Linked DNA regions of Callithrix jacchus. The protein of the gene in region 6 interacts with the protein of the main gene of each other region in a pairwise test. Links are inferred from orthologs where the notes say so. Each region holds a gene or a part of one and is shown on either strand. Other genes may lie near its edges. The genes, in order: LAT, PTDSS1, STX7, P4HA2, SLC29A1, CREB3 and NDUFB6.

Region 1 (4,493 bases), on a different chromosome or scaffold from region 6:
GAGTAGGTTTCACCATATTGGCCAAACTGGTCTCAAACTCCTGACCTTGTGATCCACCTGCCTCAGCCTCCCAAAGTGTTGGGATTACAGGCATAAGCCACCACACCCAGCCTCTTTCTTTTGTTTTGTTTGTTTTTTTTTTTAAAAAAACAAGGTCTCACTCTGTTGCCCAGGCTGGAGCGCAGTGGCACAATCTCAGCTCACTGCAACTTCTGCCTTCTGGGCTCAGGTGATCCGCACACCTCAGCCTCCTGAACAGCTGGGACTACAGGCATGTGCCACCAGGCTTGGCTAATTTTTTTTATTTTTTGTGGAGATAAGGCTTTGCCATATTGCTCAGGCTACTCTTGAATTCCTGGACTCAAGCAATCCTCCCTCCTCGGCCTCCCAAAGTGCTGGGATTACAGGAGTGAGCCACCACACCCAGCCAGCTATTTTATCAGAACAGTCTGCCCCCTGAACTGTTACATTCATAGCATTAGCCCAGTAGAGGGCACCGCAGTAAACTCTGAAGGAATGAATGAATAAATGAATGAATGAATGAAGTACTTGGAGAGTCTGGAGTTCAGAAGAGAGCAAACTAGGAATCTGGATGGCAAACAAGGCCAGGGTGTAGAATTGATAGCCCAGGACAAGTATATACAGAGAGAGCAAAGCAACAGAAAACTAAAGAACGCTGGACATTGAGGAAAGCCCAGAGGATATGACCAGGCAGGATGAGACCAGAAGGAAGGAAGAAAAACAGCTCAAAGGAAACCGGGCAGTGCAGGGAGCAGAAGAAAACACACACACACACACACACACACACACACACATACACACACACACACACACACACACACCAGCTTCTAATTAATATCCTTAGAGATGTATAAGATGGTATTGCCTCCATGAAACAAGAACAGGAGGCTATAAAAAAAGAACAGTCAGAAAACAAGAAAGAGTTTCTGGACAGGATAAATGAAATTGCAGTGGAAGGGTTGAAGAATAAAGTCAAGGAAATCTCCCAGATGATATAAGGAAAGGACAGTAAGGTAGGAAAGAGGAGAGAGAAAGTTAAGAAAATCAGAAGAACAGGCCTGGACACGGTGGCTCATGCCTGTAATCCCAGCACTTTGGGAGGCTGAGATGGGAGGATCACTTGAGCCCAGGAGTTCAAGGCCAGCCTGAGCAACATACCGAGACCCTGTCTCTACAAAAAATTGTTTTAAATAAGCTAGGTGTGGTGGTATGCGCCTGTGGTCTCAGCCACTTGGGAGGCTGAGGCTGACCGAGTAGCCTACTTGGGAGAATCACTGGAGCCCAGAAGTTCGAGGCTGCAGCAAACTACGATGGCATCACTGCACTCCAGCCTGTCCCTAAAATAATTAAAAAATAAAAACAAATGCCCGACTCACTGGAGAAGGCGCTGTCTCGAAGGCCAGAAGTGCTGAGCGCAGGAGCTGGTGGGGCGGCAGTGCTAGCAGCCGGGGCACTGTCGGGAAGCACCACCCTGAAAGGAAGTGAAACGGGCTGGTGAGCTCAGGCCCAGCCTGAGCCCCCACCTCCCACCTCCCACCTGGCCACTCACAGGTAGCCCGGGTTGTGATAGTCATCCTCATCCTCATCCTCATCCGCATCCTCACAGGCTGGTTCTGGGGGTAACAACACAGGGGTCAGCCTAGCCCAGGACAGGCCCCAGCCTCCCCCCACAGCCCGGGCACCTCGGATCCCAGACGCACCCTCGTTCTCATAGCTCGGCACGCTGTTGGCTTCAGAGACAGGGAGAGAGGGAGACTGAGTCAGCTCAGGCCAGGACGATCTTCTTCCCGGCCCCAGCCTCCTCGGCCCTTCCCCACACTTACCACCATCTGAGTCCCGCCGGGAAGATGGCATCCGGTGGGAGCCCCCGGGGGGCTGTGGGGATCTTCTGGGAGTCAAAGGTCAGGGGTCATGGCTGAGGTGGGGCTCAGGGGGCAATGGCAGTTGCAAAAGGGAAAGGGGCTACCAATCCAAGAAAGTGAGGGGGTGGAGGGGCGTTTGGAGGGGTAGGGGAGCAGCTACTCACGGGATGGGAAGCAGGTCTGGCTGGCTCAGGGGTGGGTAGGAGGTGACAGGTGGGTAGGTGGGCGGCCTGGGGGCGAGTGTGTCTGAGGACACAGAACCAAGTTGAAAGAAGGACTCCAGACATCGTCAAGGCCTCAAAGAACAGACTAAGCTCCTGAAACCGGTGCACCTTGGACAGGCCTGGGGGTGCCATCTCCCCTCTCCCAGCTCAGGTCAAGGCCATGTGGGCAGCCCCAGGGTGGCAGGGGCTGAGGGAAGGTTCACACACACTCCTACACCAGGGGACCCTCTCCCCGACACTGGAGGTAGGGGACCCTCAATGTACTCACAAGGTCGTTTGATCTGGATGCCCCTTGGATACAAACTGGTAAAAAAGACACAGCTTGGGGCTGGGGCTGGGAGAGGCCCCAGTCCTGCCCCACCGTGGGGAGTGGAGGGAGACCCAGGGCAGCCAGGGCAGACTCACCTATCTGAGGAGGTGCTGTCATAGGAGCCTGGGAAAGAGAGGGCTGCTAAGGCAGGAACACGGGGTGCTGAGGGCAGAAGGTGTGGGGAGTCCAGGGGCTCTCAGAGACACTGGGATTGGAACGGAGGCAGGGCCAGAGCCAGGACAGACGCAGGGGCTGGGAGTGGTGAGGATACCGTCACTGTGCCCAGGCCCCAGGCACCCCACCATTCCCACTCACCTGGCAGCCTGTGACAGTGGACACACAGCGCCATCAAAACGGCCAGGATGGGCAGCAGCAGGAGGCCCAGCACGCAGGGGACCAGGATGGTCTCCTCCATCTGCAGGGGAGCTCGGAGCAGGCCGGCTTACCCCACAGGCCCCTCAAGGGCAGAGCCAAGGCCAGGCAAGGACAGGGTGAGGACCAGGTGAGGACTGGGTGAAGATCGGACCAAGCAGGGGGCAGGTAGGCAGCAGGTGGCGTGGGAGCCCAGGAGGAGGCGGCAGTTCCCTCCCCGGGGCTCCCTGGATGGGTCCCCTCTTTTTCTGGGCTGAGTGGGCGTCCAGCTGGCTGTGGGAAGTCTCTGCTCCCCGGGTGGTCAGACCAGGGCCCAGACTGAAGTTGGGGGACCCAGCCACCCGTGTCCCAGCCCTACCCGCCCCTCCTCAGCGCCCGCCTCTCCCTGTGCCTGCCCACCCGCCTGCCTGCGGCAGGAAGCTGTGGTGAGCACCAGGCGAGGGCAGGAAATCATCGAGCTCTCAGTCGGCTGTACCCGCCCCCTTCCCACTCCACCCTGCCACTGGGGAGGGGGCAGGAGGAGGCCCGGGAGCCACCCCAGGCTCTCACCAGGGGTCTTTGGGCCCCCAGGAATGGGACAGCCACCTGCTGGCTGGCAGCCACGGCCTCCACATCCAGGGCCTGGGGAGGCAGCAAGCGGGGAGGCCCTGACAGCAGGAATTCTGGGGTGCAGAAGGCAGTGCCCACCCCCACCTCAGCCAGTCCTGAGAGGCAAGGGGCAGGCTCCGGGGAAGCAGGGGCGTGACTCACAGTCACACCAAGCCAGCTCACACAGAGGACAGCAGTCTCCGCTCTCAGTCACCCAGACCAGAAGGGCAGAGACTCACTCAGAGCCCCAAGGGGTGACCCACAGTCTTCAGGAGCCCTGGGGTGAAGACGGGACGCAAGATCAGAGGTCACCCAGAGAAAGACAAGAGCAGGCACCTGGGGTCTGGCTACAAATTTTATTCCATAACAAATAGCACCGAGCCCCTGGGGCTGCCCCTGTGGAGGGGGATCCCCTTCCTGTACCCCCACCTCCTCCCCTGAGCTGCCCATGTAGTGTCTGGGAGCTGGGATACGGCCCAGGGTCCCTCTGGAAGCTGGGTCAGGCCAAGGGGTTAGGCCCAGGCCCCTTGTGGGGTGGACCCAGGGCCAGCTGCGGCAGATGTGCAGGCAGGCAAGCGGCGGCCTCTCAGATGAGCACGCTGGCCACAGGCACCCGGGTGGAGCGGCCCCGCTGGGGCACCACGATCCGGTCATCTGTGGGCCCTGCCTCGCGCAGCAAGCCTGCAGAGGGAGGGTCAGAGCCAGGGTGAACCGGATGGACAGACAAAGCCAAAGAAGGGCAAACAGGCAGCGGGAAATGGATGGGGCAGTCACAGAGCTGCCCAAGGGGTAGACGCAGACACGAGGAGAAAACTGTGGACTGAGCCACCAGGTGCACAGAAGTGGGCAGACAGATGGACGGACAGACAGGCAGATCAAGAAGCTGGGCAGAGGACAGCCCCTAACTGACCCTGCATGTGCAGCTGCGCCCGCCGGCGGTCGCCCTCAATGAAGATGGCGGTGCCCAGGAAGGCCGCGCCGCCCAGCGCCCCGACAAACGCACAGAGCATGAGCGAGAACTGCAGAGCCCGGAACTCGGACAAGAAGGAGGGGGGCCAGCTCCGGCGTAGGCGGTCAGAGATCTGCGGAGAGAGGAGACAGGAGAGCCAGGGAAGT
Region 2 (4,467 bases), on a different chromosome or scaffold from region 6:
CTTGAGTAGCTGAGACTACAGGCATAAGCCACGATGCCCGGCTAATTTTTGTATTTTTAGTAGAGACAGAGTTTCACCATCTTGGCCAAGATGTTCTCGATCTGATCTTGTGATCCACCCGCCTCAGCCTCCCAAAGTGCTGGGATTACAGGCATGAGCCACCGTGCCTGGCAGAATGTGACTTTCTATATAAGAAGAGAGAAAGAGAAATCTATTTTGAAAGGACCTAGAATAATATTAAAGATGAAAGGCTGAAACAAATGGCTCATTCTTGCTTCTCATTATTTAAAATAAAATACTACAATTATTTTTCTAATTTCCAAAGAAACTCCCTCACTAATTTCATTATTTCAAACCCACACATAAGATGAAGCTAAACTGAAGCTAATATGAAACAGGTATTATGTTATCTACTGTCTATTTCTCTAATGCTTTTATCCTTCTTCTCAATTACTGAGGATACTCATTCAATAACAAATATAACTTAGAAGACACTAGCATACAATGAAATCACATCATAATAACAACTAATGCTTATTAAGCACCTAATACTTGCCATGCACTGAGCTAAACACAGATTATCTAAAAAGATGAATTTAATCCTCATGACAGATAATCCTGACAGATTAATATATTGATATTTTCATATTACATACTGATAAGGAAACTGATGCCTAGCAAAATTATGTGGTCACACAGCTACTAAGTGATAAAATCACAACATAATGAATTATTTGAAAGTGACCATAGTAGCGACATGACTGATTTCTCTCCAAAGCTAGAAATACGTCTGGTTAGGTACTGTAGAAAGGTCTGGTCTTATCCTGTTGCACAACCTTAGCAGATTTTATAGTAATAGTGGCAAGATCCCTCAATCATTAAAAAGTAATTGTTACTTAAGCTTTATATCTTTAGGTAGATTCTTTCAAATGGATAAACACTTACATAACAAGAACCAAGAGTCAAGTGAATCCTGGAGGTAAGGAACAAGTGTGATGTGGGAGGATATTAGTTTTATGAGGATTTGAAAAACTGCAGTTATTCCCAAGGGAGGCACAACCGCACTCGTGTGTGTACATAAACGACTGTGTAGGAGGCAATTTACTTGATGTTGTACAGCGCTGTCACATACGTCACAACACATTTAGTATCCTTTAACTGCTCCTCCTTCCAAATACTAGAAGTTCTCTCAATCCTTATGATTACCCAATATATATATCCCTACACATTTTCTGCTGACCCTGACAGAGAACCTTGATTGTTAGATAAAAATACTGGGAGAGAAGTAACTGACAGGAATTGTACATTGTGCACCAGGGACTCTCCTAAATGCATTCGCACACATTCATTTAATCTTCATAACCCTGTATGAGGTAAGTACATATTTCATCACCATTTTACAAGAGTGGCCTCTGAGGCTCAGGGCAAGCTTATGCAACTTAACCAAGGACACACAGCCAGTTTTGAAACCAACAGTGTGGCTCAAAAACTACACTACTCTAACTTGGCCTTTTAAGCCACAATGGCGAGGGAGGTGTGACTTTCCTTTCTTTAAAGAGGTTCATTCAGAAAGTACAAATTCTTCCAAGTAGGAACCACGGTGTGTACCCCCTTAAGAACAAGGGATAAATTCGTTCCCTGGGTTAGGGATGAGGGGCCACAAGTGCAGTGCCATAGAGTTACATGAGGTGTGTTCAAGAATTGGGCTGGGCAGCTCCTATGAATAGGTATATGTTAGAATGTATGTGTATGTTTTCAGGGGAATAAGAGAGTTGTGTTATGCTGTGTGAGGTTTAAGTGTTTCATTTAACACACAGCAGTTACTATATACCAGGCACCATTAAAATAGCTGGACAAGATCACATTTCAGCATGTATGTTAGGTAATGAGTGAGTAGGGTATGTATTGCGTGATGTGTGCCGCCGGCTGCTGTCTGTGCAGCTACGCACACAGAAGGTTATGGGTATTGGGCTGTGCTGGAAGGGAAAGGTCCGCTGTGATGTGTGTGTTTAGAGTGGCAGTTTGTTCTGTGGTACAGATGGTAGTGTTTGAGGCTGGGGGGAGGATTATGCTGGATTACTTGTGTGCAATGCAGATGGGAAGTGCTGCACAGGAAAGACGGTGTATGTAGCGCACATGTGGATTTTGTGTGCATTACGGATCATGCCGAATACTGGAGTTCCACAGGAAAGGATCTAGGTTGTGTCCTGGGCCTATGTATGGTGCGTACAGGCGCTGTGGATTGGGGTGCTTCATGTGTGTAGCAGTGTGTGCTAAAAGTGGTTCATACAAGATGATTCACGCGGTGTGCTGGGTACGGACGGGGGCTGGAGCGGTGCAGAGGTGGGCCCCGCGTCGTGATGTTGTGTGGAGCGATGCTGAGTGTGGTGGGTGGGGATGGGGGGGGGCGATCGTGCTAAGTGACTCGCGTGCGTTCCCTGTGTAACCGGAGGCGCTGTATGGAGAAGCAGCATTGAGGGGTGGGGGAGCAGGCTACCTTGCTGTGAGACACCGGGCGGGCGGAGGGCCTGCGTGGGCGGCGGGCTGCCAGTGCGTGTGCGTGGAGCAGCCAGCCGGCTTCCTCACCCAGAGCCATGCCGGGCCATCCTCCCTGCCACCCTCCCTCCCGCCTCTTCCCTCGCCCTTGGACGCGCCCCCTGCACCGCCCGGCCGCCCCACCTGGTAAAGGCGAAGTACATGAGGCTGACGATGGTGAAGCTGAGCAGGGTGATGGTGTGAGGCCGGTAGAAGAAGTCAATGGTGATGTCCTCCACTTGCTGCTCGTTGATCATCCGGAAATGCATTTTGTAGTTCACATCATCCTTGCTCAGGGTCCGACTCCCTACGCAGGACGCCATGGCCCGCTTCCCCGTCCTGCCGCGGTGGCGGCGGCCCCAGCCCGCGGAGGCCGGGACCCCGGGGGTGACGAGCCACAGTAGGAGAATCGCCGGACTGCGAAGCCGGGTCTGGCGCCCAGCAAAGGCTGGGAGCTAAGGAAAGGACAGGCGCGAGAGGGCGGGGTCGCGGCGCCGCCACCGCGGCCTGGGACAGGGGGCGCCGCTGACCGTCCCCACGCTGTTGTCCCGGCTGAGGCATCTCTATGCACTTGAGCAGCCTTCAGACTTGAAGTCCACAGGGCTCCAGGAGAGGGGCGTGCCGGAGAGGGGCAGCAGGGCCCCGTAGCTGACTTTTTCTCGCGCACGCAGCCCGCTGTCTCCCCGCGCAGCCCGACACATGGTCTCGCCCACTCCGGCCGCAGCCCACGTGGGCCGGGGAGCGCCGCTGCGCTGGGCCTGGCTGGCGGCGGAGCGGGCGGGCGGCGCCGCGGGACAGCGCGCGGCGAGTCGGTCGGTCCCCGGGGCACCCGCTACGGGGCGCAGGCCTCCCCACAGGTAAAGCAGGAGCTGCCCCAGCGCGAGGATGGCGCTCCTGGCAGGGGTTCAGGTCCCGATGCACCTGCGTCCAGGCCGCGCCCCAGGGCCTTTAGGTTTTCGCGGCCCAGTCTTGGGTGATTGGTTTGGTTTTGTGTTTTTCCCCGGCTGATGTAATGAAAACTCAACCATGCTTGCTGATTAGCGCTGTGTGAGAATCTTCTGGAGGGGGCTCTGCCTTCCTGCGGAAGTTGGGTTTGGGGAACTGAAATGGGCTGAAATGGCCTAGGGAAGTATTGAGAGACCCTTTATGCGGAAGCTACCCCCATAACTTCCCTTTCTTTCCTGATTTCATTTATAACCTTTCATAGGTAGAAATCTTGAACCCTCGAAAAACTATTTCAGTGTCTTTTTCTAGCAAAGCACTGGGTACATATATATATGAGCTGTATATATCAATTGTTAATAAACTAGAGTTTCTTTAAGGGTTTTCTGTAATTTTCCTGATGAAAGGACCGTGTTAGAAGACTTACGGTTACCTCACAGGGCTTTTATACACATCTGCACATGCCTTACCCGCTTTTGCATACTGTGTAAGAAAGTGAGTTAACTGTACTTGCTGTTGATTTCTTTCCATTCCGTAAGCATTAAAGCAGTTCAGGGCTCTGGGACAGTGGAGAATAGTCCCTGCAAGGGTGGCTCCCAAGATGAGACACCCAGCCCTTCTCTTGTGAGTGAACAATTAATCAGTTAAAATGTGTAAACCACAGTGAAATGGTGTGGAGAGGATAGTGCACTTGTAAATAAAAATGCAAAGATAAACAGTTGTATGCACAAAGATCTTTTAATGACTGGATAAAATTTGAAAGTGAATCTTCCTGATGTTTAAGGGGTGTTGAGTGTGGAAAGGCTTCAGGGTGAATTTGGGATTTCAGGAGTTTGAAGTAGGATGAAGTGCTTAAACGTCAAAAATGTTAGAGCTGATAGGGGCCTTATGAATCATCTTATTGTACCCTTAGCCTTTACAAAAAATGTCTGAAGAATGGTTATTGACTCCCCACCCCCACACCATGAGCTAGACATTTTGTTAGACGGC
Region 3 (3,933 bases), on a different chromosome or scaffold from region 6:
GGTGGCATGTGCCTGTAATCCCAGCTCCTTAGGAAACTGAGGCACAAAAATTGCTTGAATCTGGGAGGCAGAGGTTGCAGTGAGCTGAGATTATGCCACTGCACTCCAGACTGGGCCACAGAGGGAGCTGCCTAAAAAAAAAATTCTTTCTCATGCCTTCGCCCAGCATTATCCAAGCATCTTGATAAGAAACTGACTAAGAACAGAGCAGCAGCCCAAGGCTATAATGTAAGGCTTACTTCAAGTTGCCTGATAGAAGACTCTCTTTCATGAATAAGGCGGAGGTCATCCTCTGTAATTTCTTCATCCTGCACCTGCACTTGAGGTTGAGTTTGGCTAACAGAAAAAAATGAATGTGGAAAAAAACAAAGATTGGTTGGTATTCAAAACAATGAGACTCATTTCCTATTTAAGATATATTCATTAAATAGGAGATTTTATTTTTCCAAGTCACAGAACTTCTCACTTAAAAAATTCTAAGACTATAATAATCAAATTTTACTCATTTTTCATTTCACTTATATCATTTTATCTAATATGAGTTTAGTGTTATTACTTAATCATTGGAAGTTATATTGGGCAACTGGGTATTTCTTCTCACCTGACTTAAACCTCATATAAGGGAATGTGTCTATTAAGTCCATAAATATTTATTTGGAAAATTTTATATATAATAAATACTTTATAATTAGTGAATTTGTTTTTCAAACTTACTCTCTGTTTTCAATGTATAAAAAACTTAAGGTATTTATGATATAATATACTGAAAGTTTTAATTCTGTTCTAGGGACCTTAATGTATAAACTTTGAAAAATTACCTTTTGATCTGTAAAATATTTTCTATTTCTTACCTTTCCCAGGATACAAGATTCCTTTCTTTTGAGCTGTCCTCAGGAAAACCGCCCTGAATAATTTAGTAACAGGATGGAATGAGAAGGGGCAAAGAGAGGAAAAATAAGAAAAAATAAACAACACTCATATTTTCCCTTATGATAATCTAAACTGATTTACATATACGTGCACGCGCGTGTGTGTATGTGTGTGTGTGTGTTTGTGTACAGAGAGAGAAAGACATTCTTGTTTTAATTTTTCAGGTCAACTGTTTCAAGTAATAATATAATTATAAGTAATTTTATATTCTAAGTAGACAAGAAAGGAATTGACTAAATATTCTAAAGTGTTAGAATACTAAATATTCTCAAGTATTACTTGGTTAAAGCTTAATGCAGTCTTGGAATCCGTATGTTAAGGAATAAGAAAACAACTCATGATACTTTATAAGGGAATTTAAAATTAGATTAATTCAAAATTCTACTGAAAAGTTTCATTTATTTTCTCCAGGCTCATGTTCATTTTCAATATTCATACAACATACTTGCACCATTCATCTTTGTCATCTTGGTGTAATCCAGGAGGAAAGTGCTTTCTATATTAGTGTGTACACAAGCAGAAAGCCTCAGTGCCAAGACAATATGAGAATACTAATGAGGACTTGATCCCTAATCTTTTCTGACAAATTATGTCTCTAAATTTTTACATAATCTATAATATTCTATAAAATGACACAGAAAAAATAACCATAGTAATACATAATTATCATCCTTCTCTAAAAATGGAGAAGAAAAGCATAAAAATAAATATTCAAGTGCTGATTTCCAAGATATTCACAGATCGTATGCTACTACTGACTTTCATGGGCCCCTTAGAAAGTAATCATGTTTGGGAGGCTGAGGCAGGTGGATCACGAGGTCAATAGATCGAGACCATCCTGGTCAACATGGTGAAACCCCGTCTCTACTAAAAATACAAAAAATTAGCTGGGCATGGTGGTGCGTGCCTGTAATCCCAGCTACTCAGGAGGCTGAGGCAGGAGAATTGCCTGAACCCAGGAGGCGGAGGTTGTGGTGAGCCGAGACCGCGCCATTGCACTCCAGCCTGGGTAACAAGAGCGAAACTCCGTCTCAAAAAAAAAAAAAAAAGTAATCATGTTTATTTCTAGAATGTCTCTCTAAATACTTACAGACACTCTGGAACTGGCTCTTACTCGAGCAACAAACTCTTTCTCTCGCTCAGCAGCCTGCCTCTGGACCTTCTGGAAGTTTGTCAGTGATGTTGTGAACTCTGCCACTAAGCGATCTTTCTGTATTTTCCTTTGACGCTAGGGGTAAGAGAAAAAACAAGGCCAAGTAGAATCAAGCTGTGAAGTTCAACAGAATTTGGTAGCTGTTTTATCATTAGCTGGCTCTTTATCTAATCCTGAAGTTTTCACTTACTCCCCAATTACCAGGCCTTACGGATTAACTCTCAATAACATTCTGACAGTATGTCAAACACTGTACATATTTAACTTGAGGCAAAAGACCCATTGTGCTGGATTTGTCACCTCAAGTTTTCACGCTGCTAAACACTAGCTCATGATTTTGAGCCTATTTTAAGCAATTCCTTTTTAGACAAATAAAGCCTTATGCTTTTAGCTAAGTAATAACTTCCATTGCATAAGCAGGGAAATAAATATGTTCCCCCAGGACACCTCACATGCTGAATGAGTCTGCACGTTGCATGAAGTCAGACCTGGGAGGCCAGGAAATAATTACTCAGGAAGCATTTTCTGAGAACTTACTTAATTACGGGTCAGGGCAAATGCATGGAAATAATTTTTGCTTTATTGAACCACAGGATACTACCTGAGCAATTAAATATAGTTTTGTGTTCTGTGAACTAATGTCAAGCAGAATTATTTTTGATTTCCTTTTTAGCATAAGAGTTCAAAGATCCTACAATGCATTTGATTTTTTTCACATTCAATACATCAACAATGGGTCTTAAAGCTTCATACCTGTTCACTGGGGGTGGTGGGCAGAGATCCAAACTCTTTAATGTACTTGTCTGTTTCTTTGGCAAGCTGGTTAGTATACTGCTGCTTCTGTTGCCTGAAGTGAGAAAACACACATTATGGCCAAAGGATTAATATACTTCTTTAAGCTGCAACTCTGCCATTTAAATCAACACTGACAAATAGTTGTATAAAAATTGCCTTTGCATAAACTGGCTCTGAACTTCGTAAAAAAAAATTCATGTCCTTTTCTTTGATAAATATTGAGCAAATATTGTATGTCAGGTTCTTCACTCACACAGGTTAGCTGAGCTTAGAGAAATAAAAATCAATGACCATTTAGAAACAGATGAATCAAGTCAGAGGAAACTTGAAAAGGAGACTGTTGGACGTCTGATCCTTTAAGTTTGAGATATTGGGGATGTGGGAGCCTTTTATCCACATCTCACACCTGGAAGGTGAGGTGAGCAAGAAAAGATTTGTTGCCTTAGACTGTACCTCATTCCCAGATCTTAGTTATATCTGGCCTCTCCTATTTCTCTATATGACCATGTATATGCTATAGATACTTAAAAAAAAAAAAAAAAAAGGCCCAAGCTTGCCGGTTCATGTCTGTCACCCCAACACTCTGAGAGGCTGAGGTGGGCAGATCGTCGTAGGCCAGGAGTTTGAGACCAGCCTGTCCAACATGGCAAAACCTTATCTCTACCAAAAACAACAAAAATTAGCCAGGTACAGTGGTGCACATCTGTAATCCCAGCTACTTAGGAGGCTGAGGCAGGAGAATCACTTGAACATGGGAGGCGGAGGTTGCAGTGAGCTGAGATCACACCACTGTACTTCAGCCTGAGCAACAGAGGGAAACTGTCTCAAACAAACAAATAAACAAAAAGAAAAGAGGCAATATTGAAGCAAGTTTACAATTATTTAAGTTTGTGGTGGAAAAAATAATAGCATTTCCTTGTAAAGGGAAAGAACACAATAAATAAAAGAAGTAAATCACAGTCATTCCTTGGTATCTGCAGGGGATTGGTTCCAGGACCCCTGTGGATACCAAAATCCGTTGATGCTCAAGTCCCTGACATAAAAAAAAGGTGTAA
Region 4 (4,449 bases), on a different chromosome or scaffold from region 6:
CCTCAAGAGATCAAACATTTAATTCAGGAGAGACTGGAGTCAGGTATAATGTAAATATACTGATAACCCTGGAACTGGTCAATCACTGGCTCTAAAGCTCATCAAGGAACGTTCTCTAGCAAAAGGCAGGGGATTAGATCAATACTCTAGGATCTCATGCACTTATATGCCTCTGACCTGCTTATTCCAGGCTCCGACAAGTACCCAGGCTTGAGGATCTCCACTACACCCTGGCCCTCAGAGTTCCAGGTACAAAACAGGCCATACTCTAAGCAAGCAGTTCCTGAAAGGCCCAAAGCAGATGCTGGCCTGTTTCCAGGCTCAGACAGATTCCATCTGAGCTAGAGAGCACTCTACCCAAACACTTAATCCTCTGCCCTTCAGGTTAAGAGTTCTGACGCCACAGAACAAGACCTCTCTTCTAGGGCTCCAGTATATCATGCAGACTTTTCATTCTCTGCTCTGAGGGAAAATAAAGAAAAAAAACAACTGTCTTTCTCTCCCTCATTCCATGTCCCTAGCACAAAGCCTACAGACCACAGGACCTTCCAGTCCTCTTTGCTCTAGGACAGGCTGATGTCTTACCCTAGGGAATGTCCAATGTCCAAACTGCTAGATGTGAGCAACTTTTCCAAAGTTTAACTCTCACTCCAGCACTCTGCTGGACTTGCACGTGCTTGCCTCACATCTTTTCCTGCCAACGTACATCTGCATAATAGTAAACTCTTGACAGATACCAGGAGCCAGGGACACACCCCCAGCCCTCTGCACACTATCAGCCAGCGTGGCCACAAATCAGCCAAGGCCTTGCCTCTAGCCTCAGACCCTCCCAAGGATGTGGGAAGGCAGAGTGAAAAAGGGAGGCCTTCTTAGGAAATGAGGAGACCCTAGATTCTCTCACCTGACTCATTTCTCAGAGCTACACCCACACAGTCTCTTCCTTTGATTAGCACAGCCAGGCTCCTCCCCTGGCACATGGCCAGCTGCCAGTATGAAGCAGCAATCTCAGAGTATGAGCTACCCACAGGCAAGAATAGTGCCTCAGCCACCTCCTCTCTCTCCTCCCTCATTCCAGCCCTAGGCACACTCTAGTCAGAAGCCAAACAGGCAGAAGGCACTCAAGGGATAAACTGAGATCGGCTGGGGGAAGTCTAAATAGGTGACTAAGTAAGCACTGTCTAGAGTACCCCAATGCAGAGCTTTCTACAGGATACAAGGGCCTATCACATGCCACAGACAATGCCTCAGCTTAAAAGTCACTGGGTCTACCTACTGAGCTCTCGGAGAAGCAGGGTGATCCACTATGACAGCATCTTTGGGATGAGGCCCCAGCCAACTTACTCCATCCTTGCTACGTGGCTTCACTGGCTGGGCCACATAGTGGACACTTGGCTGTGTAAGAGTAAAGAGGCCTTTAAAAAAAAGAATTCAAAGACCAAATATTCTGTGAGTGGGGAGAAGCAGACAGACTGGGCCCTGAGGCCCTGAACCACAGTGAGAGGCTGCACCTTGGACACTTCAGGGGCAGTTTAAGTATTAGCCAAAGGAAATCCTGGTTTATTTAACAGAGACTAAATTATGGAACCTGTTATGTCAGATGAGATATAGGCTGAGAACAAGCAGCAAATCCCGAAAACATCCTATAAATTCTTAGGTGAACAATGGATCTCTGCAAAGTCTGGGACATTTAATAATGCCCCAAGCTACACAGTAATGTCCTCCAACCCTTGCTCTTAGGACCAGGATCTCCTACAAGAGGGCTGGGGCTGTGAGGCCCCAGATGGTCTATATCAAGAAGCACAAATCTCAGGTGTCACTCTACAGTAAAAGACAACAATCTCAGTCTTGGGAGGGATTCCATTGCTCTCCTACACCATCTTAAAGGGTCAAATAGAATACAAAGGCCAGGGACCCACCTGGGCTGCCCAGCAATACCTGAAGCAGGAAATGCCCTGATCCAGACTCATGATGCAAGGGTCAACTGGGCATTTTACATATGCAGGGCACAGTACCAGGCACCACTGTCTTCTCACTCCAGGGTCTTGTGGATAGCATCCATGGACAGCTAGCCCCTACAGTGTCCCTTCCCCATCACCTTGCTTCCACTACAATGCCATAAAGCATGACATCGGCCAAGGTCTCTGCTCCCACTCACATAGGCTGTTCCTCTGTCCACGCTGCCCTTTTGCCAGCCTTCTTCTGAGCTCATGGGTCACCTCCTCCAGGAAGTCCCCTGGCCGGAGGCATCCAGTCCTCTACCAAATACCCAGAGCCCTTATTCCCTTCAAGCACAGCGCTCACCACACTGCTCTGGGCCCGGACCTTCCCACTAGCTTTTCCAGTCCGCCTGTCCCACGGTTAGCAACTGCTTGCGGTTTCCGGCACACAGAAGGGTCCCGTTTGTTGAACTAGTTAACGAATTTTCACGGGTCTCTGCGGCTGCCAAGGAAAAACAACGCAGGTTCCACAGGGATGTCTGGATGAGAAAAGTCCTTCTGATCCAATGCCCATCTAATGGGCTCCAAGCTGGACCCTGCCCAGACAAGACCTCGGACTCCCAGCCCCTGCGAGGGAGCAGAGCGGGCCTTGCCAACAAGAACCGGCCCCTCAGGGCCAGGCTAACGCAGCGCCCCCGCTCCCAACAGCGGGCAGCCGGGGGTCAGGACGCCGCTTCCCGGGAGCCCGACAAGGAAGGACCACCAAGTTCCCAGCCCCGCCCGACAGCCGAGCGGACGGCACGAAGGGCGGCGGCTGACCTCACCACACTGAGTTCGGGAAGGCGTGAGGGCAGCGGGACAGGAACCCAGACGGCTGAGGGCGCGGGGCTGCGGCCCGGACTGCGCTGCGGGTTGCTAGCGGCGCGACCCCAGGCCCCGGCCCCTAACTTTCAGCCCCGCGCGGGCAGAACGCACGGTCCAGCGACCCCTGCCCACGCCCCAGCCCCGGGGCAGATCTGGCGGCTGAGCCGGCGGCGCGCTCACCTGAACACTCGCAGCTCCCGGCGTTTCCAGAACCTCCCGCGGCGTCGCCCAGTCCACTAGGCACCTCCTCCCTCGGCCGCTCCGCCTCCCGCCGCGGCCGGGGCTCCGCCCACTTGAGCCGCAGCCTGGTCCTAACCTCACGCTCCTCACGCCCGCCTGCGTCCTGGCTCCGAGCTCCGAGGGCCCTGGCGGGGGTCGCTGTCCTCTGCGACCCTTGGGTACGCCCAGGCTACCCGACCGCGTAGGAGTGGGAGCCGAAGCGGGAGCGGGAACCAGCGTGGGAGCCGGAGCCGGAGCCGGAGCCGGAGCTGGAGCTGGCCGCCTGCACCCTTCATGCCGCCTGCCGCCCACCGCACGTAGTCCGCGCCCGCCTGGCTTTGGTGCGCCCCCACCTGCGGGCCTTGGCCCGCCCTCCTTCCCAGCCCCCGGGCGCCTGGTGAGGTCGCCACGACCCGATCCCCGCGCCGGGGCTGTGAGGAGAGCGTCCCCTGGAGGCTGAGGGATTTCCCTGCCTCCGCTCAGGCCCATTGCTTGGGGTGCCCTGCCGGGAACACGGGCCCCTTCCCGGCACCACCACAGAGGCTGTAACAGGAGACTGGGGTCACCGGGCTAGGAACTGGGTATTAGAGGGAGGAGGCGGACCAGTGGAGAAGACGCTGAGGAAGACTAGGGACCTGGGGCCCACACCCTGGAGACCAAGACTGGGTGGCCCATCCTCAGGGTCGAGCTCCCAGAAGGGTTCAGAGTCCCGGGATCCGGTTCAGGCAGTCCTGGTATAATGTACAGGGATGATGGATTGATAAGGAGGCCCATCAAAGGCTGGCAGGGGTGGGGGGGGGGGCGGTAACAATCCGGGGGTGCACTGGGTTGCCCAAACTTTTCTTTATGCCATGGGTCAAAAAGAATGGACACCTGGTTCAGCCAGTCCAGTCTGAAAGAGAATAAGAAGAGATGCAGCAAACCTCAGCCTGAGTGGGAGGAGGCCCTGGCGGCCAGGCAGGTTCCCACGCCTGCTCTGTGAACCTTCCTCTCATGAATGAGGGGAAACAAGGTCTGAGAATCTCATCAGAGATTCTCAGGGAACAAGCCCAGAGCGTGAGATGCCCAGCCTCCGCCCGGGCCCAGTTTGGATATTCCCTATGGCACATGGGCCAGGCAGGCGGCCCAGACCTGGGGAAAGGAGCACACACTCGGAAATACATATAAAACACGAATAAGCCTCCGTTTCGGCCTGTGTCAGCCACTGGCCTGAGCCGGGCTAAAACCACACAGAAACCCTCCTGCATCTGCTACATCCACACAAGCTTCCTTCTATCTCACCCTTCTCAGGAGCTTGCCTCGTGGGTCATCCCTTTTCTCTCCTGAAGGCTCAACCACCTGCTCTCAACTGGCTCTTTCCCATTGGCCTATAAATATGTTAAAGCCTCTACTATGGGAACAAAACCCTCATTCGACCCCACTGAGTGTC
Region 5 (4,729 bases), on a different chromosome or scaffold from region 6:
AACAGTGACGATGACTGAGGCCAAGCCAGAGGCTCCCCAGATCCCTCTCCGCAAGTCTGGTCTCTCCACCCTCCCTGGGAGGCCTTGGATTCATGGTTAGAGTGGGGCTGTCCTCTCCTAGAGGCACCCCAGATTCCAGCCTCTCTGCTGGTGGCACCTTAATCTTCCTTTCCAGCCACTGCCCAGGGGCTTCCTAGTTGCTGGCTGGTTTTCCAGGAAAATATTTCATAATGGATGTGGGGGAACAGCCCTTCCCACAGCCTAGCCAGGCCCCTCTCCATCCTCCAAGTCCTGACCCCAGGGTCACCTAGTACCCCCTTAGTTCCTCTCGGTCACAGGCTCCTGTCCTCTTACCCTTGCTCAAAGTGACTTTGAAAATAAGAGTAGAGGGGCAAATCCCAAATCTCCTATCCTCCCTCAGTTTCCCTCTCCTGCTCCTCATTTGTGTAGGGGGAGACCCCCTGGCACCAGATTAACCAGCTTTCCCATTGGCTGGCATGCGAAGCCAGGCAGATGTGTGCTGGCACATCCCCCACACTCAGGCCCAGCTGGCCCAGGCCTTGCTGTTTTGGGTAAGGACAGCTTCCCCTTCCTCCCTTTCTGGGAACTCACCAGGTGCCCAGACTGGCCAGCAGAAGGGTTGGAGAAGATTGGGCCTGGGAAGTCCCTAGAAGGTGCTCCTAGTTTAGGATCAGGCAGTGGGCCTTGTCCACGGGCTCCTGGGTGCAGATCCAGAATGAAAAAGGTGGCACAGGGCGTATCAGGAGAGAATCCCTCAGGCTTCATGGGGCCCCATTCTGAGAAGCCTTGCAAGCAAAGAAGCAGAAGCACACCCAGGAGATAAAAAGCCACCCCTGTAGCTCAGGAGATAAGAGAACAGGGAGTCTCAGCAGGGGAGCTCTCGTAGGTGCAGCCATGCTCCAGGCTCCACTCAGACAAACAGGCAGCTGGGCACCCTGAAACCCTCATGGGCTTTCCCACCTCCCCATAGCTCCTCTCAACCCTCCCTGGAGAAACTCCAAGTTCTCAGAGGTCTTCCTTGGCCCCTTGGCCCACACACCTCCAGATGGAGGCAGAAGGATTCCTCCAATCACCACTTCAAAAATATTTACTGAGGACCTCTGCATGCCAGCCAGGCACTGTCCTAGGCACCAGAGTGGTGAATAACCACATTTAAATTTTCTAGAGGGATGGAGGCAAGAGGTCTTTACTTGGGTGGGGGCGGGGAAAGGCTCAGGGCTCAGGTTTTCTATTAGGTAGGAGGGACCCTTCCTCTAGGTGCTTACCTCATACCCGCATGCCCTGTACTCCGCTCCCACCCCACAGGCAAGGTTCCTGGCAGTTAAGACCGGGTGCAGCTTCAAACCAGATGGGGGACTGGGGTGGGGGATCAGCTCCCTTTCTCCTGGGTAAAACTGGCTCAGGCCAGTTTTCTTAGAGAAGTATGTATTTCTGCCCTCTCCCCAGCAACATCCCTGCTCTCTCTGTTCTCAGGAGCCCTCATCCCAGTCTTGGGCACAATTCAACTCCACGGGGAGCCCTCTCCTCCTACCCATATCCTAACATTCAGCTGGCCAGCTCTCGTGTTTTGCTTGTCTGCCTTTGGTCAGCGGCAACCAGGGATCTGACACCAGCTCAGAGCATCTGGTGTCCCTCCAGCCATGCTTTGGCCTGCTGAGGTGAAAGCAGCCACCAAACTGAGTACCTCCCTGCCCCAGACTCCCAACACCTCTCCTGCAGTTCTCCATTCCCAGGATCTCATACAGGTCCAGCCACTACCTGCAGATCTCTCATCTTTCCCTCACAACCAAGCATGAGCCAGTAGTAGCACTAAACAGATGGGGCCAGCTGAGGTTCAGAGAGGTTGAGTCACTTGCCTGAGGTCACAGAGCTCAAGAGTGGAGGAGCTAGGATCTAAATTCAACGTTCAAGTTACTCTAGGCTCTTTTGGGGATGGATAGAGAGGTATAACAGCTGCTTCTTAGCTAGGCCTGCAGACTGGGAGGTGGGGGGAACTCTGATCCAACTAAAGAGAAAAATGAGGTGGAGATCAGGCTTATTCCCAGCCCGACTTGAGTGTGGGCACCTCAGCCTCATCCCATCACATGCATTCTGGCATGGGGAGCTTACACAAGCAGAAGGAAAGTTGGAGGGTCTGGAGAGGAGTAGGCTGCCAAGAGGAGCAGGCAAAGGGACTACTGGGCTGGAGAGAGATCTCTAGAGGTGTGAGGGCAGGGTTGGAGCCAGCCTTGACCTATGAGTGCTCTCTCCTGTAAGGAAAGCCGAGGTGTGTGTGTCTTCGCCCTCTTATTTACTCTCACAGTAAATCAGTAAATGAGGCCGCGCCCAGGAAGGAGACGCCAGGGACACGAGTTTGGCCAGTAAAAGCCCGGGGTTAAAGACACAGCCCCGCATCTCAGCTCGCGAGCCTCCAACCCCATCCCCATCCCCCTCCGCCAGCTCAGTCAGCAGGCAGCCCCTCCCTGATACCGACCAGATCGCTCGGGTTCACCGGTCCACTCGCCTGCCCCGTGCGGAGGTCACCATGACGGCAGACTGTTTTAGGCCCAGGTGACAGGCCACCCAGCCCCGCTTGGGTCCCGGTCCCCGCAGGGTCCTCCGGCTCCCCAGCCCGTGCGCGCCACGTGCTGCGCGGCTCCGCACGCTCCACCCTGGGGCCCCACCGGCGTCCCTCATAAGGGCCGCGCATAACGCCTGGCCTCCCGGCCCTCGTGGCAGGCAAGCAGCGGCATCACGCCCCTGCCGTCCCCAGTCCCCGCCCCGGGCAGCACCTGCCGGAGAAGCACGGCTCCCGCGCTGAGATCTGCGCTCTCCCTGCAGCTTCCCGCGCCCGCCAGGGCACATTCAAACCCGCCCTCCCCTGGGCCCGCCCCAACCCGCGCCTACCGCCACCTCCGCGACAGCCGCGCGCCCGCGGCCCCGCCCCCTGTCCTTCCCTGCCACCCCGCGGCGCCTCCTCGCCCTCTGCGACCCCACCCCGAGCCCCTGCGCCCCCAGGGCCGCGTGGTCGTGTTATTTCAGTAAATAGGACCTCTCTGGGCCCTGCCATACCAAGGCTGTCCATCGTATGGGGTACATGGGGCTGGAGGGTACAGCCCCACATTGGGGACCTGCACAAACTCCCATGAAAATCTATCTCAAGACTGTTCCATCTACACACCCGCTGCTCAGACCGGCTCCGAAGCCCCCCTTGGCCCACTCCACCTCAGATGTTCCGCTATCCCTCCCCGAGCCCCGCCCACGCCGCGCTTCCTCCACACTGCACCTTTTTCCTCCCAGCGCGCTCCCTTTAACTCCCCCTTCTTTCTTTCAGGCCCCCTCCTCTTCTTTTCCTTCAAAACTGCTTCTGTCCCCACCTCCTCTGTTCTGTGACCAGCATGATGGGTTTTCCCATCCCTGACACATCCAGTCCCAGCCACAGACGTGCAAACACCACACCACCCACAACTTTGACTTGGAGGGGGTGTATGGCTCTGCCTCGTGCTAGTGTTTGCGCGGAGGGGGGCGGGGCACAGCCCTGCAGCCCCCTCATAATTCACCCCTTCTTAATCCAGCACTTTGGAAAACCGAGGCACAGCTGGAGATGGGAAGAGAGAAAGCCAGGAACAGCCTTACATCCTGAGTGAATTCTATTGTCCCAGTCGGAGATACTCCTGAGAGGCAGGAGCGTTGCTGAGTCCGTGCTTCGCTAGTATGTGGAAGGGGTGGGTATGCTGAGAGGTGGTCCAGTGCATTTCTCCAAGGGAGGGGGAAGGAGGCCCTTTTTCTTGGTTGGGCAGTAAATGGCATGGGGTGGGGGGCACTCCCTGCCCTTCCAGCACCACCCAGTGCTGGAGGATGATCCAAAGGCTGGAAAGGTCCTGAGGAGAAAATCCAACCCACGCTGTCCACCCCAAGCCCACTGACAGGAAGGGCTTGTTTCCTAGAGAAGCCACAGACACTGATTAACAACTAGCAGTACTCACATCATAAGGATAAGGTAGTCCTACGCTGTCCCCAGAGAAACAGGACCCTAAGGAGAGAGGTAGCTTTTCTACTTAGGGTCAGTGGCTCTCCCCAAGCTACTCCAGAATGGGTGTCCCCAGCCTTCTGTTTCCATGCCCCACAGAGATGACACATATTCCTTCCCAACCCTCCCTTACATCCTCCCATTCCCGCCAGCCCTAACCAGAGGGCAGGAAGATGAGTCTCAGTGGTATTTTTCTAGGCACTGCCGCATGACTTGAGAGTGGCTTCATGTCTGTCCATGGCCCCCAAATTCCCACCCTCATGTTTGTCCAGTCTCTCTCTCTTCCTCTCCTAGCCCTCCTCTCCCCTCTGCTTTGACCCGTTCCTCCCTCCCCACCTTCCTTTCCTGGTTTCTGAGTCTGTGGGGGTGGTAGGCCTAGTGGTCAGAAGATCTGCTAGGCATGACCAGGCTGGGGGCCAGTGGCTGCAATTGTGTACAAAGGGGGTTGGGGGTGGAAGAAAACTGGAGGGAAGTGGTGAGGGTCCCAGGCCAGACTAGGGAAGGCTGTTCCTCTCCCCACCCACACTGGGTCCCTGCTGGCTTAGCTGATGGCAACAGCCAGGGCTGTTATTGTTGGAGAGAAGTCCATCTGGCATGAGCCCTGCTGGGCTCCTAGCCAGCACCCACACCCCTCTGTAGCCACCTCCCAAGCAGAGGAGGTTGCTGGGTGCCGGGGCCCCCTGCTGGACAGCCCTGGGA
Region 6 (2,459 bases):
CTTGGGAGGGCTTCCAGACAGCTGAAGGCTGCTACCGTACCGTGTGGGAGCGCCTGGGTCTGGCCTTCCAGACACCAGAGGCATACTGCCAGCAGCGAGTGTTCCGCTCACTGGCCTACATGCGGCCACTGAGCATCTGGGCCATGCAGCTAGCCCTGCAACAGCAGCAGCACAAAAAGGCCTCCAGGCCAAAAGTCAAACAGGACACAGGACTAAGGACAGGGCCTATGTTTGGACCAAAGGAGGCCATGCAAACCTGAGCCCAGAGTGAGCCCTCTGAACTGTGGGAGGGAAGCACTAACATCCCAGCCTCCAGCCTGGCCTTTCCTCCTTCCCTTCTGAACCTCCTGCAGCCCTGAGCCATCAGGACAATCATACCCTTTCCCTTCTCCCCACCCAACTGTGCCAGTAAATGGGGGTTGGGGGTAACCCAGGCAGCATTGGAATCACTTATTTATTTATTTCCTCACCCCTTCCCTCACTGTGTGAAATGTTCAGCGAGGTCAGTTGATTTCCCCAGGTACATTCATGGGGTGACAGACACATGGCTACAAATAATAAAAGACCCAGAAAGCCAGTAAATGTGGTGTATTTGAGCCCTCAGTCTTTCTGACAGGGCACAGAATCTGCAGCCAGCCCTCGCCCACCCATTTTTATTCAGACACAGATGGGGAGCCCACCAAGCTCTTGCTGAGACCCCTCCACATATCCTTGTATCTAGCCTGAGTATCTGTCCTGCAGGATGACAGAGGGGCTATAGGTAGAAAGCCTTACCCCCTTTCTTGTGAGATTTGCCTGCAGAAGGAGGATGGGATCTCGGCAGAGAGGCTCTGAGAAGAGGTCAGGGAATAGCCACTCCAGGGGACGCTCTGCCCTGAGAGCCTGAGACATGTAGTGTAGCAGGCAGGAAGAGTTGCCAGGGACCTGGAGTACATGGTCTGAGCCGTCCAGCCACTGGTGTGTGCTGTCTTTCAGCACCTCTGACTGCAGGGTAGACAGCTCCAGCTGGTAAGGGTCCTCACTGGGGAGGGCACGAAGCTGGCGGAACAACACTGAGGAGACAAAGGAGACAATCTTCAGAGGCCAACCCAGGCTCTCCCCTTGCCCATGCCTGAGAGCTATCCTTAAGCCTCTTACCTCCATGCTCAGCTGGCAGGCTCTCTCTTGTGTCAGAGGAGTACATAGCAGGTACAAGGAGGAGGCAGAAGGAGAATAGCAGGACCTAGAGCACAGGAAAAAGGAGATGAAGAAGGGCTCTGGACTGCACTGCTGTCCCTACCAACTAAGCAAAGGATTTCTCCCCTCATCACCATCCTCACCAAGACACAGGTGCTGCTGCTACTGGTTTTGTTTGATATCGCAATCACCATGGCCTGGAGTTTCCTCAGTTGATCTAGAAGGGACCTAGAGGAAAAGGGGGGCCAGTGGTGAGCATCCTCTGGCCTGGCACCCTAAGACACAATGAAATTCCTATTCAGGACACCTCCATCTCTGCACTGGATCCTCTCTCTTATTTTCATTCTATTTTTGCAAATGACTTCTTCCTCTCTGTGGACAAAGTGCCTGAAGTTCCTCGTTAAAACAAAACAAACAACAAAAAACAAAAAAACTTCTCTGCCCTGACTTAACCTCCTTTGCAAATATCATCAGTAGTTCCCCATTGTCTGATCAGCTATGCATATAATCCTCACCAGGCATTCTCTGTGTTCTCTACTTTCTGGCCCAGCTCACCTGTGTTAAGAGTTCTAGCCCAAGAGGACTATGTTGTATTCTCTCTGCCTAGAATGCTTTCCCATGGATTCCCAACTCCAGAATCCTAACTACTATCAAAGTCCATGAGGTCTTTCTTACCCTCTTTCTCTTTCTTGGTACTTATTCTTAGTTACTTATAAATGTATTCCCCCCTACTGTATTCTTAGTTACTTGTAAATGTATTCCCCACTACTATGAGCTTCTTGGAATCAGAGACCTAGTGAAGGCCAGGCACCAGACCTAGCATTTGAGAGCTGCCCAGTTAGAAATCAAGTGTAAGGCAAGGGAAAAAAAGTGAGAAGGCATTAAATGAGGGGCACAAGAAGGCAGTGGTTTGGAGGGAATCTTACAAATTCTGTTCCTCCAGAAGCTGTACTTTGTTCTGAAGCTCCATATTCTGGGCTGTGTATTTCAAGACCCTGGGGGAAATAAAGATATGGGTATATGACCTGTATCCTCCCTTCAAAAATCTAACAACTGAGTCTCTCTCCCTTTCATACCTGCTCTCTAAACCCCCAACATACACCTTCTTCTTCCTGCGGCTCTCTTGAGCAGATCTTTTATTTCGAATCTTCCTTCGCACACGTTTCAGAATTTGTTCCTCCATCTGAAAGCAAACAGGGAAAGGGATACCATGAGAGGGACTCTAGACCAAGGAGTTGAAAGGCAACTGAGATCAATCTCTTTCCAATGCAGAAATCTCTTCT
Region 7 (4,685 bases), about 2.9 Mb from region 6:
TGGTCTCAAACTCCCAACCTTAGGTGATCCACCCGCCTTGGCCTCCCAAAGTGCTGGGATTACAAGCGTGAGCCACTGCGCCCAGCAGGTTCTGACATCTTACTCTGAGTTGTCAGCTGCCTCATGCCATCCTTCTTCCAGATATCCTCCTCCCTCTGCTCAGGTTCCAATATCCTATACTAGGCTGTTGCCACTGTTGTTCCCCAAACAGATGTGCTCACCCTCCTCCCCTGCAACCCACTCAGGATCTAACACCCCTCATTTGGTATATGAATGCCCTCCTCACTCTTTTGTGCTCCAACATTCCATGCTACACAGCCACCACTGCTCACTCTGCCATGCCACTTCCCAAAATGCATGCCCTTCTCATTCTGCGTGGGATCCAACATCCTGCACCAGACTGAGCCTTTAAAAACCACAACTGGCTCAGCTGAATCAGCCCATACAAGATCTATTATCAGTGAAAAAGTTCAGGCATCTGGACATCCTGAGTTCTAAATAAATAAAGTTGTGAAGAATCAGATAAAATGAAGGAAACAGAAATGGGATGGACAAAGATAAGCTTTGTCTATTTTGAATTTTTATCTCATACCAGATATAGGTTGTTATAAAGGAGCAGAAATTCTTTTCTCCCTTCCTATTCATGACCTGAATTTACCCTAATATTATTAGGTCACTACATCCTGATCTTTTAAATACTATTCCTATGAGAAATCCATTTCAAGTTGTAAACTAATACAGTGACACAATTTTTGAAAAACTATTTTCAATTACTTGTTTCATTAAATCTCTTCCCTAAGGGAATTCAAAGTAGATCAAAATCAGTTTACAAGTGACAGATTATTTCCACTAAGCAGAGTAAGATACCCACAAAGAAAATAATTTTGGACAATATTGAAAATAAATTCTGAAAGGAATACTTACAGCCACATGATATTTCACGTAATAATGAACAATCCAGGCAGGAATAAGTACACAAGTAAAAATAAACATACTCTTTCGGTATACCTTATAGACCTGGGGGGGAAAAAAACACATACACAAACTAAACATATCCCATATTTTATATTTATGGCAGAACAAAAAGCATCAATGATGTAACAATGTCATTATTATTTTACAAATCTCTAAATGGTACCTATTTTCTTATAGTCTGTGGCTAACTTCATCTACTTAAATATTATTAGTAAATGCAGAGTTTTTCAGAAGATACCTACAAAATCCAAACCAAAAAGCTTAAGATAAGTAGTATTTTGCAAGACTATAGCAAGGCATTTATAGATTTTTTTAAAGACTTCTAAAACTAACTTTATCATAAGTTTGTTAAATATAAAATATAGCAAAATAATAAAAGAATAATTTTAATGTATTTAACTAGAGAAATCAAACCTACAGAATATTTCAGGTATAGTCATCTCTCTGATTTAGCTATCAATGCCACTCACATTATTTTAGGTATAAGGCAGACAACCTTGACATCAATGCTGGAAAAAGGACATTTTACATACTGAGATGGGGTGCCTCGAGCTCACTCCAAAATGCCTTCTGCAACGTTATTTAAAGAAAAAACAAACTAAAAATGGAACTCTCCCATGTCCTCCAATTTGATTAAAACACACCTATCCATTCAAGGAAGGGGTAATCCAGAGTCTAAGAATTATAACCGATATGATTATAAAGTAACAAATTAACTCAAAGTAAGGTAAGGTGAATTTCAACACATGATTATTTATTTACTTCCTTAGATCACTCGCTGATGGATGGGACTTCAGCTTTAAATCGGTGACTGACAATATCCTGATAATGTCTGGGATACAAAGGGTGGGAGAAGAGTTGAATTTTACCACCATAAATAAGTATCCAATACCACTTTTTCAGAAAAATTTTCAACAATTCTGTTGCACTAGAATTTGTAGCACAGTAAGAAATAGATACATGTTGATTTCAATATGAACTCCTTCAATTCCTAGCTCCCTGACCACCGGCAAATCACTGGATCTTTGTAGGTCTCAGTTTCCTCACATTTAAAGTGAGGATTAGGAATAGTTTCTACCTTACAGGAATAAAGAAATGAAGTAACACATGTAAAACCCTCAGTAGAGTGCCAAGCACACAGCAAGCACCCAAGTGTTACTATTATTACTACTATTATCAGTAAGCTTTGCAGGTAACTGAAAGCAATTCTGAGATGTGTTTATCACCCATAACAGACCTCAAGAAAATACCCAGAGGCCTTGAAAATAAAGCTTCTGAATGAGTGATTTTCTTCAAAGACCCAAATGTCATTTTTCAATGAAACACTGTGTTAAAAGTACAGTGTGGTAGTTTATAAATGTAGCTCTTCAACGTAGCTCACTAGGCATACCAACAAGACCCTGTCTTTTATGTTGATCACATGGAGCTGTACTACCAGCAAGCGGCTAGTTGTGCCCTCTGGTAGTTGGATGCTGTGTTACCTGGTCTCTAGAACCTCACACTTAAAAGTTAGACAAGTGTCCTCAAATAGTAAAATCACAGAATTTTAATTGCAGCCAGTCCTTGACTATTAATTCTGGGAAAAGATTTCTACAGTCAAGAAAATCAAACGTGCAGCGTCCTGGAAAACCTAAGTATTAAGATTCGCCTCCGTCTCACTGTACTTGATGGTAAAAGGCATGATTCTCTCAAAGCCATACATATTCCTGGACTCCTGCCTCCCGAGACTCCAGGAGGACTCTCGGGACAGGCCAGTGTCACCAATCACGGAACGTTATCAGTGGGGCTACAGGGAGCGTACGTCCAGTGTCCAGGCTACCGGCCGCGGTGGGATGCGTTGGGAAGGATCACCACTCACCACTCACCATGTTCCTCCAAGGGGACTTATTTGCCAAAAACTTATCCCAGAATCTGTCCATAGGCCACGTCGCCTCTGGGGGCAGCACCGGCTCCCGAGGGCTCAGCTCCTGGTCCTTTAGCCATTGCCTTCTCAGCGCTCGCAGCTGCTGCTGCCGCAGTTTCTCATCCGGAGTGTACCCCGACATGTCGCCGCTGGTATTAAGGCAAAAGGACACAGAGCGCCCTCAAACTAGGGCCTCCTTACTTAAGCGCTCTCCAGCTCTGCAAAGCGACCTTGAGGGCACCGCTGGGGGCAGCGCGCGGTTATTACGTCACATCCTGGTCCTGCCTTTGCAGGGGGCCCAGATTCCTCGCGAGAAGAGCCGTGTCCTGGCATGCGCAAAGCTTTCCACCTCCAATTTCCTCTCCGGCTACCTCCGCTTTACCCGCCTGGATTACGAGCCTGTGGGGACGCAGACTACTCTTAGTTGTGGGGTCTGGGAAAAGTGGCAATATTAGACGAAAGTATGCTAAATAAGAGGACTGTAGGTTTTGTTCAGGAAGAATTTGTATGCTGGGAGCAGGAAGGATAAGCATATGTGTTTCAGTGAATATGCTGGCCAGATACAAAATTGTTCGCTTGCCTCTCCCACCTTGGAATGACCTAGAGAGTGTATGAAAATAGTTTCATCCAAGTTCAAATCCCAGCTGTGCCGGTAACTGCTAAAGTGCCCCTGGGCAGCTGTCTCATCTGTCCCTCCATTTGTACAGCAACAGTGTAAAGAGTAGCTTAATATCTAGCAACAATGCATAGATGCGTTCATGCTTTCACCCAAAACTATATGTGGTGAAAATATCAAAGGGCATGCACGATTAGTCAACACGATTCATAATAGCAAAATATTGGAAATTACCCCCAAATTCCTAAATAAAGGACTGCTTGAATAAAGTACAACAGTCAAAAGACATCATTACAATGTATTAGTTTAAAGATCTGAATTGACTCATTTGTGATTCTAGAATCAGAAAACACTTCATTCTATAGAGTAGAATGAGTGTTCTGATCAGCTGAGCAGCCACGGTCGGTTTATTGGCAAAAGGGCTGAAGAAAGCAGAAACAGAACAAAAAGTGGATTCATTGTTTCAAAGTTACTTTTAGGGTTAAAGCAGAAGGGACTTCCTTATTTCACTGACTCAGGTTTAGAGGAATTTCCTGGTTTTGGAAAACTGGCCTATTTCAAAGTTCTGTTTGATTATGTGGTACTTAGCACAAACGACTCCATTCTGGTTTGGTCTGGTCTGGTCTGCTCTGCTGGGGCCTAAGTGCATGAAGCTAGTATGGAGTACATGTGCAGATCTTGCAGGATTGTTGCATAGGTACACACATGCCATGGTGGTCTGCTGCCTCCATCCCTTCCCCCCCCACACACCTACATTAGGCATTTCTCCCAATGTTATCCCTCCCCAGCCTCCCCACCTCCAACTACCCCTTCCCTAGCCCCTCCACCCCCAACAGACCCCAGTGTGTAGTGTTCCCCTCCCCGTGTCCATGTATTCTCATTGTTCAACACCCACCTATGAGTGAGAACATGCATTGTTTGGTTTTCTGTTCTTGTGTCAGTTTGCTGAGAATGATGGTTTCCAGATTCATCCATGTCCCTACAAAGGACATGAACTCGAGGATGAGATTTTATAAGGGTAAAATAAAAAGGGCAAATAGTCAATCCTCTTTATCTGTGGGTTCCACAATTACATATTCAGCCAACCACAGACAGAAACTATTCAGGAAAAAAAAAAAAAGTGGTATGAATTTTAAACAATACAGCATAACAACTATTGACAGAGCATTGACATTGTATTAGGTATTATAA

What was found.
Region 1: the proteins of CREB3 (region 6) and LAT interact in a two-hybrid assay, tested with the Homo sapiens proteins (2 studies listed by BioGRID and IntAct). The two-hybrid records come from large-scale screens. The link is inferred for Callithrix jacchus from reciprocal best matches to the Homo sapiens genes CREB3 and LAT.
Region 2: the proteins of CREB3 (region 6) and PTDSS1 interact in a two-hybrid assay, tested with the Homo sapiens proteins (2 studies listed by BioGRID and IntAct). The two-hybrid records come from large-scale screens. The link is inferred for Callithrix jacchus from reciprocal best matches to the Homo sapiens genes CREB3 and PTDSS1.
Region 3: the proteins of CREB3 (region 6) and STX7 interact in a two-hybrid assay, tested with the Homo sapiens proteins (2 studies listed by BioGRID and IntAct). The two-hybrid records come from large-scale screens. The link is inferred for Callithrix jacchus from reciprocal best matches to the Homo sapiens genes CREB3 and STX7.
Region 4: the proteins of CREB3 (region 6) and P4HA2 interact in a two-hybrid assay, tested with the Homo sapiens proteins (2 studies listed by BioGRID and IntAct). The two-hybrid records come from large-scale screens. The link is inferred for Callithrix jacchus from reciprocal best matches to the Homo sapiens genes CREB3 and P4HA2.
Region 5: the proteins of CREB3 (region 6) and SLC29A1 interact in a two-hybrid assay, tested with the Homo sapiens proteins (2 studies listed by BioGRID and IntAct). The two-hybrid records come from large-scale screens. The link is inferred for Callithrix jacchus from reciprocal best matches to the Homo sapiens genes CREB3 and SLC29A1.
Region 7: the proteins of CREB3 (region 6) and NDUFB6 interact in a two-hybrid assay, tested with the Homo sapiens proteins (2 studies listed by BioGRID and IntAct). The two-hybrid records come from large-scale screens. The link is inferred for Callithrix jacchus from reciprocal best matches to the Homo sapiens genes CREB3 and NDUFB6.

The regions. Positions count from the first base shown.
Region 1 is NC_133513.1:28,976,382-28,980,874, forward strand, and holds the start of LAT (linker for activation of T-cells family member 1), read right to left. Parts: upstream 3,110-4,493; 5' UTR 2,833-3,109; coding exon 2,733-2,832; intron 2,541-2,732; coding exon 2,513-2,540; intron 2,411-2,512; coding exon 2,376-2,410; intron 2,130-2,375; coding exon 2,048-2,129; intron 1,910-2,047; coding exon 1,722-1,909; coding exon of another isoform or gene 1,635-1,721; coding exon 1,571-1,634; intron 1,493-1,570; coding exon 1,398-1,492; intron 1-1,397. Other genes in the region: SPNS1 (protein spinster homolog 1), read right to left, coding at 3,588-4,058. UniProt on the Homo sapiens protein: Required for TCR (T-cell antigen receptor)- and pre-TCR-mediated signaling, both in mature T-cells and during their development.
Region 2 is NC_133517.1:30,976,165-30,980,631, forward strand, and holds the start of PTDSS1 (phosphatidylserine synthase 1), read right to left. Parts: upstream 2,972-4,467; 5' UTR 2,859-2,971; coding exon 2,680-2,858; intron 1-2,679. UniProt on the Homo sapiens protein: Catalyzes a base-exchange reaction in which the polar head group of phosphatidylethanolamine (PE) or phosphatidylcholine (PC) is replaced by L-serine. Catalyzes mainly the conversion of phosphatidylcholine.
Region 3 is NC_133505.1:139,117,826-139,121,758, forward strand, and holds part of STX7 (syntaxin-7), read right to left. Parts: intron 2,931-3,933; coding exon 2,837-2,930; intron 2,159-2,836; coding exon 2,021-2,158; intron 905-2,020; coding exon 852-904; intron 337-851; coding exon 240-336; intron 1-239. UniProt on the Homo sapiens protein: May be involved in protein trafficking from the plasma membrane to the early endosome (EE) as well as in homotypic fusion of endocytic organelles. Mediates the endocytic trafficking from early endosomes to late endosomes and lysosomes.
Region 4 is NC_133503.1:76,233,538-76,237,986, reverse strand, and holds the start of P4HA2 (prolyl 4-hydroxylase subunit alpha-2), read right to left. Parts: upstream 3,040-4,449; 5' UTR 2,982-3,039; exon of another isoform or gene 2,757-2,981; intron 2,443-2,756; exon of another isoform or gene 2,440-2,442; 5' UTR 2,302-2,439; exon of another isoform or gene 2,156-2,301; intron 1-2,155. UniProt on the Homo sapiens protein: Catalyzes the post-translational formation of 4-hydroxyproline in -Xaa-Pro-Gly- sequences in collagens and other proteins.
Region 5 is NC_133505.1:52,687,492-52,692,220, reverse strand, and holds the start of SLC29A1 (equilibrative nucleoside transporter 1), read right to left. Parts: upstream 2,868-4,729; 5' UTR 2,866-2,867; coding exon 2,793-2,865; exon of another isoform or gene 2,711-2,792; coding exon of another isoform or gene 2,495-2,710; intron 855-2,494; coding exon 613-854; intron 1-612. UniProt on the Homo sapiens protein: Uniporter involved in the facilitative transport of nucleosides and nucleobases, and contributes to maintaining their cellular homeostasis. Functions as a Na(+)-independent transporter.
Region 6 is NC_133502.1:142,640,647-142,643,105, reverse strand, and holds the end of CREB3 (cyclic AMP-responsive element-binding protein 3), read right to left. Parts: intron 2,360-2,459; coding exon 2,253-2,359; intron 2,172-2,252; coding exon 2,103-2,171; intron 1,405-2,102; coding exon 1,320-1,404; intron 1,223-1,319; coding exon 1,138-1,222; intron 1,053-1,137; coding exon 718-1,052; 3' UTR 574-717; downstream 1-573. Other genes in the region: GBA2 (non-lysosomal glucosylceramidase), read left to right, coding at 1-260. UniProt on the Homo sapiens protein: Endoplasmic reticulum (ER)-bound sequence-specific transcription factor that directly binds DNA and activates transcription. Plays a role in the unfolded protein response (UPR), promoting cell survival versus ER stress-induced apoptotic cell death.
Region 7 is NC_133502.1:139,755,113-139,759,797, forward strand, and holds the start of NDUFB6 (NADH dehydrogenase [ubiquinone] 1 beta subcomplex subunit 6), read right to left. Parts: upstream 3,141-4,685; 5' UTR 3,021-3,140; coding exon 2,841-3,020; intron 1,018-2,840; coding exon 925-1,017; intron 1-924.